Linked DNA regions of Danio rerio. The protein of the gene in region 2 purifies or fractionates together with the protein of the main gene of each other region. This does not show direct contact. Links are inferred from orthologs where the notes say so. Each region holds a gene or a part of one and is shown on either strand. Other genes may lie near its edges.

Region 1 (4,505 bases), on a different chromosome or scaffold from region 2:
GACAGACATGTACATAGATTTTTAGATGGATGGATAGACAGACATGTAGACAGACAGACAGACATATATATATATATATATATATATATATATATATATATATATATATATATATATATATATATATATATATATATATATATTTCTAGATAGATGGATGTATGGATGGATGGGTGGATGGATGGAAGAATGGACGAACAAATAGATAGACAGACATGTAGATGATAGATAGATAGACAGACAGACAGACAGGCAGGCAGACAGACAGACAGACAGACAGACAGACAGATAGATGATAGATAGATAGATGATAGATAGATAGATAGACAGATGATAGATAGATAGATGATAGATAGATAGATAGATAGATAGATAGATAGATAGATAGATAGATAGATAGATAGATAGATAGATAGATAGATAGATGATAGATAGATGATAGATAGATAGATAGATAGATAGATAGATAGATAGATAGATAGATAGATAGATAGATAGATAGATAGATAGATGATAGATATAGATAGATAGATAGATAGATAGATAGATAGATAGATAGATAGATAGATAGATAGATAGATAGATAGATAGATAGATAGATAGATAGATGATAGATAGATAGATAGATAGATAGATAGATAGATAGATAGATAGATAGATAGATAGATAGATAGATAGATAGATAGATAGATAGATAGATAGATAGATAGATAGATAGATAGATAGAATAGATAGATTACTTGGGATTTTTATTTAAGGATTTAGCACACTGCTAGAATGTGTTAGTATTATATTTTTTATATAAATATATCTAAATATATTTAAGTTTGAACAAAATTCATTTCCTACATATGTGTATGGAGATCTAATTTATCTCTTTAATATTAGGCCAAGTTTGCTGATTGGTTAATGTGCAAATAAAGGTTGTCCTAATGTTAGCCCTACATATGAGTGTATTTTCTGGGATTGAAACATATAATGTATTGTAAAACATATATATGTTCAAAAATATATTTGTATTAATATTTTACCGTATGGGACAAAATCATTGAAAAATAAAACTTCTTTATTAATAAAGCCTACAAAAGGAGAACAATCGTTTTAATTAATTCATAAATAAAACATTAAGAGAGTCCGTAAAATGAGGATTACAAACTTTCTGTTGTTAGAAAACAAATATTTGCCGTCTGAATTTGTTTCCTCTGACAAACAAGGATCGTACGCAGCGCTCGGTATTCTCGACTGATTTACGTGCGGCTGTGCGCAGTCACCCATAGTGCAGCGCGTGCGATACGTAGCCATCTTGTGTAGAGCAGAGGAAGAGCAGCCGTTAGCTGAAAGCACACAGACTGACAGACCCGCATTCTGTTCTCTCAGGCTGAAATAACTTCAGGAACAGACAGTCAACATGAGTTATTACGCGTCGGCATGCCTGTCCAGCGTGTTTTCTGGAGGATACGTGCTTTTTCAGACGGAGGAGCGCTGAAAGCTGAACGCGCCTCAGAGTCGAGTGAGTCCAGCGGCTGGAGTTTGATCCGCGCCAGCGGCCTGAGAGAAACTCTCACACCGGGACATGGCCTTCATTTAGGCCACGGAGAGTAAGCACACGGGCTCGGGAGGATTAAACACTGCTGGAATAAAGCTGTCGTTGTGTTTGAGCTTCGTGAGTACACTTTGAACTCAACTAAAGGTCTGACAATGCCGCGATGAGGACGCGCGGATCTCTGGAGTTAACGTTAGCTTGACGCTAACTGAAAATTATAGCATACAGTTTTACAGGAACTGCGCTTAAATTGAAGCTGCGCCCTACAGTCTGACGTAAAACCAGAAAAACCCACCTAAAGCGGTCAAAATGTCTAAAATGCCGTCGAAAAAGAAGAGCTGTTTTCAGATCACGAGCGTAGTAACGCAGTCGCAGGTGGCGGCAAACAACAACACGGAAGACACCGAGAGTTTGGACGACCCGGACGACTCCACCAGAACTGAGGACGTGTCCTCGTCCGAGATATACGACATGTCCAAAGGTGGAGATTTCGAGCCGGAGGCCTGTGACGTCAGTTTGACGGACGAACCGCTGCATAGCGAAGCCGAAACATCTGTCCAGGACAGTTCGCGCAATGCGAGTGCTGTTCAGATGAACCCGAGTGCCCGAGCTGCGGGCCAGATGAGCCCTGCCTCTGTTTCTGCCCAAACCTCCACCCCAAACACCGCACACACAACATCAGTCAGCAGCTCGGCCACAGTGAGCACCTGCAGCTCCCGTTTTAGGGTCATCAAGTTAGACCATGGTACAGGTGAACCCTTCAAGAGAGGTAGATGGACCTGCACTGAGTTTTATGAGCGGGACACTGATGCTGGCCGGACTGTGGATAATGTCAAACACACTGACCACAGCGTGGACAAGGATGGGGCGGCTGCGCATGTCTCCACGCTTGCCGCAGACCCGCACACAGATAGTGGCTACATCTCTGCACCATCAAACCCTCCAGTCGAGCTCCAGCAGCACCCCTTCGGTATTGCACCGCAGAACCCATTTGGCGATGCCAAATCTCCCAGCATGCCTTCCACAACCCAGCCGCAGCCGTTTTACGCAGGTAAACCGCTGCAGAAGCCCGTTCAGGTGCTTCAGACTTTAGTCACAGATTACAGAGCGCAGCATCAGCCTCCAGGCTCCCCGGTGGTCTCAGTGGCCACTCTTCCCTTGGTTACCCCCCTAACCCAGGGCCCATCGCCCATCATGACCCCTGCAGCCGGGGGTGTGCATTTACTCGGGATGGGCCTTCCCATTAGCCAGCCGGAGCATGCCGTTCAGCCGGGCATGGGCATGGTGGCGCAGGCCTTAGCGCCGCTCATCCAGCCAGCAGTAACCGTGTCTGTCAGCTCTCACGCCGGCGTGCAAAATGTGCCTGTTGTAATGTCCAGTGCCTCTAATACCCCTCAGAGTGTGCCAAAGCAGAATGCAGCACCCCAGCAGAACCAGCCTCAGGGAGTGCCCAGCGGGTCAGTTGTGGGACTGGGTGCACAGATGAGCCTCTCGGGTTTTGGCCCCATAGACGAGGGCCTGAGAAAGCCGGAGATGCTGCAGCAGAGCTCGGGACTCTCCATCAGACCCCTGAACCCCGAGGGCCTGCAGCTCCACACACCTGCGGTCAACAGCTTGTTCGGGATCGCCCTTCCCATCGACGGGGACGAGGACAGGTACTGCTTTTCTCTCGCTGTCATTGCTCATTTGGGCGTTTGGTTCTTTTGCCAGTAAATAACACATTTTATTGCAGGTGTTTAAATATTTGCACATGAAGGACTCTTGTTGCTTTGAAAAGTTGGGTTTTTCCTAGGAAGTGTCTGAGGCAGAGTTTGTGCTCTGGTTTCTTGTTGAGTATTTTGCTTGTTTATTGACTTTTTTTTTTTTTAATGAATGTGGTTGGTTTAACACACAAACATGTCCTGGAGACCCATGGTATGGATGTTTTTCAGTGACTGTGATGACAAGTATCCACAATTATTCATATAAATTCTATTAAATATTTATTAATTTAGTGAAGTATGTGGTTCTGAGATGGAAAAAGATATTAAAAACATTTTTAATTTATTTTAAAAAAATATTTTTTGTTTATTGATACAGATTTTAGAGGCCATGGATCCCAAACATGATAAAAAGACCTCCATATAGCTTCATATAGACGTTTTTCTTAGAACGCAAAATTACCCATTATGCTTTGCGTGTATGCGCAAGGAGAATGCGAAGAACTTCCGGTCGGCAGCTGATGCGTGTAACTGTAAACAGTCACATTTGGACAGCTTTGAAACGATAGTTTTAATCTATTCTACATGCTTTTATCCTCTTTGAACTAATACTGTTGTCCATCAGCACCATCTCCTGGACTGATCATTTAAAGAAATGCGATCTAATAGGATGGAAAACAGCTGCTGTGAGGCTTTTTTCCCCTCGGTGTCAGACGGCATCTTCTGCAGTTTAAATGAAGCCTTGTCATCGCTAAAGTCAACATTTTCTCTTTATTTCAAATATATAACCAGCCCAAACACATGTAGTTCACCAAAATGTTTGACACACACTTAGCCTGTACTGTGCCACTGACACACTGATTTAATAACTGTGACAAAGTTTAAATATAGGCTAGTGTCATTTCGAAATGACAAAAAAACACACAAAATAAAACACAAACGGCTCGCGATTAGAATAAACAGCAAATCAGCCAGCAGAGGATCAATAACAGACTTTTATTGCTCATTTTTGTAAATTGCACGACTTTCATACCTGTTAAGTTTCATGCCAGTACTCTGGTTCTCTCTCTCTCTCTCTCTCTCTCTCTCTCTCGCTTGAAGCACATGTGACAGATTATAACGGCTTTAACAGACACATTTCTAAGTTGTGTGTCACAAAAACACTCTGTTATCCATTAAAAACGTCATTGAAACCCATTTTCGAAACGCAAATGACCAGTTGTACACGCTGTAAACGGAAGTTTTTAGCATTCTACCGGAAG
Region 2 (4,001 bases):
TGCTATAAAGACACTATCTGAAGATGAATTTGCATGCGTGAATCAGAAACATTACCATTCAATAAATGTGCAAATAAAATATGATGCACAAACTTATTGGTGATTCCTACTTGTCTTTCTCGTGATAAATAGTGGGCAAAATCTGATATGTAGCAGGGAAAAAAGAAGAAAGAGTTTATCAGACGCTGGATTCGAGCCGAGTTTATGCTCGAGCGTGTCAGTACATGATCACATGCTTCTTATGAGGTGCGCCACTGAGACTGCTAAGAGAACTGCAACATTTTACAGATATAAACCACACTATTTCTTTTTTAATGCACTCAGTGCGATGTTCAGACCCAACTGTGTTAACCGTATCAGCTAAACTCTCCCACTCTATTTTTTTTCTTTTGTTGTTAATTCCGGAGAACAAACTTGCAAATAACACCGCTTTTCTCCAGTCTACCTCCGAAAGCAGCACCTCCAGTTCACATTCTGTTCAAAGTTTCTCTTTTTGCTTGATTTTGCCGTTGCTTTTTCGTTGGGTTTTGCAATTAGCATAGTCATTAGCATATTCATACGGGGGAGGAGGCAGGGAGTGGTTTTGTGCTCGTGCATGTTGCGCTCAGTTTCACGTTCATTCAGATGTACAAAAGAATATGCGTGAGATTCGGCGTACGCAGTGTTTCATACATCTGAATTTTTTTCTGCGTACGCACATTTACAGCTTTGTGCGTACGCAATGTTTTAGTAAGATTTCCACGCAAGTCTTCGTACATGAGGCCCCTGGTGTACTGAAAACAGTGCTTCTATTGGCATCAACTGAAAAAATACGCTCAGCTCAGATAAAAAATTCTTCAGTTGACATGTGTTAACTGTAAAAAGCTATAGTACTTGTTAAAAGCTATTAGTTACTAGTTAAAATTGTTAGTAGCTTATAAAGTTATGGTAATTGATAACCTTAACTTTTCTAAATTTGATTGTAATGCAATAATGTTTTGTAAAGCTGCTTTGAAACTATAATTATTGTGAAAAGTGCCATACAGATAAACTTGAATTAAATAGTAACTAGTTTAGATAAAATAATGTTTATATCAATTATTATGATATTGTTAACATTTTAGAAGTAATAGAATATACTGTATTTTCCTTTTTTAATGATGTATGCTTGTGGTGGTGGTTGTATATTTATTCTAAATGTCACTAGGCTACTGTATTTCATAACAAATCCATAAAACCATAATTTGAACTTTTTATAAACATTTGTATGGGATATAGTCAGCATTATTTATTTTATTATTAGGTTATTTGGGGTCATGTGTTTTGTCATAATCTCTCTCTCTCTCTCTCTCTCTCGCTCGCTCGCTTTCTGTTTCTCTCATTTAAGGTCGTACAGATGCAGTGCAACATTGAGCCTGTTGAGGAAGGAGCGAAACATCATGTAAGTTCTTTTTTTGTGTCCCCTGTGTTTATTACTGGGCTGATGTTATAGGTTTAGTCTACGTTCATAACTCTTCACTTCTCTTTTTATAGCTGACCTTACTTCTAAAACTGGAAGATAAGCTGAACCGACACTTGAGTTGTGATTTGGCACCAAGTGAGTATTTTATCAGGCCTCAAACAAACTCTACACAACTATGTAAACACTTCCAGCTACACAGTTGGATTTCACATTCTGTCGTGCCCTTAAACGTGTTACAATGCTGCACAAGTGTGTTGCGTTCTCAGCTGCAAGAGATGCTATAATGGGCATCAGTGCAGTCGGTTTTGTCTTTCAAGTCAGCTTAGCTCAGAAGCTTGCTGAGATGGTAAAACTGTTAGCTAGCTACCCGAGTACATGTTCGGTTTAATCCAGCAGGGATTTAAACCATAGTTATGTTTTATGTTTCAGGTCTAACATTCTTGTTTTTGTTCTGAACTGTCAGTGAAGCATTAGAGCTGTTCAGAAGTGCATCAGATTGATTAAGAATTGCCACATGTTGACACCTAATTTTCATAAAATTAAAATGATTAGAACTTAATTAGTATTTGGACACTTCATTTGATTGCTTTCTTTATCATATTTATCAATTTTATTTGATGCAGACACAAATGCAACATCACGTATGTTATAAATTATGAATTATTTATACTGAATTATTATTTATAATTCTAATTTGCATATATTTATAAACACAAAACAAAAATAATTATATTTTTTTATACAAATGATAACCCAAAAAAAATTACCCAATTTAACTAGAAGTAAAATAATCAGAGACATTCAGTTATTAATTTTCTTTTCGGCTTAGTCCCTTTAATAATTTGGGGTCAACAACATCACAACATCAACTGACCCAGCCGAGGCTCAAACAAGGCGACAGCACTACCTACTATAATAATATCAAAGAAACGCAACACTCTATCTAAACATGAGCATGTGGAATAAATAAGCTGCATGTGTAATTATTGCAAAAACAGTACTAACTTAAGAATGATGTGTGTGTGTGTGTGTGTTAGATGAGAATGTACAGGAGTTGGCTGTGGAACTGGTCCAGCTTGGTTTCATTAGTGAGGTAAGAAGCTTCATTTAGATGTGCTGAACACAACAATTTTTAAATGTTTTACGACCTTGTTTTTTCCCAGTTGTACATAACATTTGTATTTTGTTTATTTTCACCATTTCCTAAAGATTCACACCAAAATTTCAGTTTTTCTATCAATAGTTTTTGTTTTAAAATCTTACCAGGCATATTTACAAGAATTATTTAATGACATGTTATATTTTGATATGCACAGGTCAGGACAAGCATGTCGTTTCGTTTCAACATAAGTGTCATGTTTCAAAACATAATCCATGTTTTTATGTTTAGTTACTAAAGCGTTAAGTTTTGAAGTAGACATTACTTTCTTTTTATGTGCATGCAATATAATTAAATTCTTTTGACAATTTTATTTAACGTGGTCACTAAAATTGGACAACTCCTATTTGACCCATATGCGTTTATTTGTAACTTATTCAAAATATATATTTATTATAAAACTTATTAATGTATAATTGTTTGTAATTTAAAATATAAAATTTTTATTTTTAACCTATTTAATAAGGATTCTTTAATCTACATGAACACTAACAATTATACTTTAAAATAGTGTCATTAGTGTCATTTCACCACAACGTTTGTAAATATCAACCAAAGTACTTAATTTGAATCAAATTTAACTGTAAATATATTTTTTGTGTGGATTAAATGAAATAAGTACATGCTTAATGATCGTTGGATTGAAAAAAATCATACACATCCTAATCTGTAATGTCAGCCTCAGAGCTCTTTCTGGTATATTTCATGAGGTATATAGTTTATTGCTTGGTCCAGTAAGAGGTCACTGCTTTTTTTTAGGCCACTTTTCTATTTCATCTTTCATTGGTGGTATGTTATTGTCTTGGATCAGTATTGGTAAGATCAAACTAATCCAGATTGAACAATGAAGATTGACATTTAAAAAAAAACAATTGTCACAAAGTTAAGGCTGTGTCCGAAACCGCCTACTACTCAGTAGCTACTGCATTTGAATTTAAACATACTACTCAGCCGTTAAAAAAGTACGCTCTATACAGTATGAATGTGAAAAGTATGAATGGAATTCGGACGTACTACATCCGCCAGTTTGTCATGGTCACGTGACCTACCTGCGTCAGTTGCGTCTCCTCACTTCCATTCATGAATTCTCTCATGGGGCATTATGGGATAGCGCAGCGTGCATGGGATGCGCATTTCAGAATCTCGCCGGAAGTAGTAAGTCATCCTGGTACTTCTCCCCTACTGATTTTCGAGTTCTATGAATTCGGACATTAGGGGTGTAACGATATTAAAACCAAACCGAAATAGTCACGCCCCCTGCTGCCCATTGTTGAGGTTGACGTCACTTGTCTCTAACTAATTGAACCAATTTAAACACATCTTTAATATCATATTTGATTAAATTGTTTTAGTAATGATGAGGATTTGTTCTAAATATTATATTCTAAAGTTAGTATTTTA

What was found.
Region 1: the proteins of nrbp1 (region 2) and tsc22d2 purify together in Homo sapiens (affinity purification with mass spectrometry; 5 studies listed by BioGRID and IntAct, with this or other methods). This does not show direct contact. The link is inferred for Danio rerio from reciprocal best matches to the Homo sapiens genes NRBP1 and TSC22D2.

Annotation. Positions count from the first base shown.
Region 1 is NC_133197.1:37,220,853-37,225,357, forward strand, and holds the start of tsc22d2 (TSC22 domain family protein 2), read left to right. Parts: upstream 1-1,323; 5' UTR 1,324-1,852; coding exon 1,853-3,198; intron 3,199-4,505. UniProt on the Homo sapiens protein: Reduces the level of nuclear PKM isoform M2 which results in repression of cyclin CCND1 transcription and reduced cell growth.
Region 2 is NC_133195.1:28,699,390-28,703,390, forward strand, and holds part of nrbp1 (nuclear receptor-binding protein), read left to right. Parts: intron 1-761; exon of another isoform or gene 762-1,366; coding exon 1,367-1,420; intron 1,421-1,512; coding exon 1,513-1,576; intron 1,577-2,478; coding exon 2,479-2,534; intron 2,535-4,001. UniProt on the Homo sapiens protein: Required for embryonic development. Plays a role in intestinal epithelial cell fate and proliferation, thereby involved in the architectural development of the intestine potentially via the regulation of Wnt-responsive genes.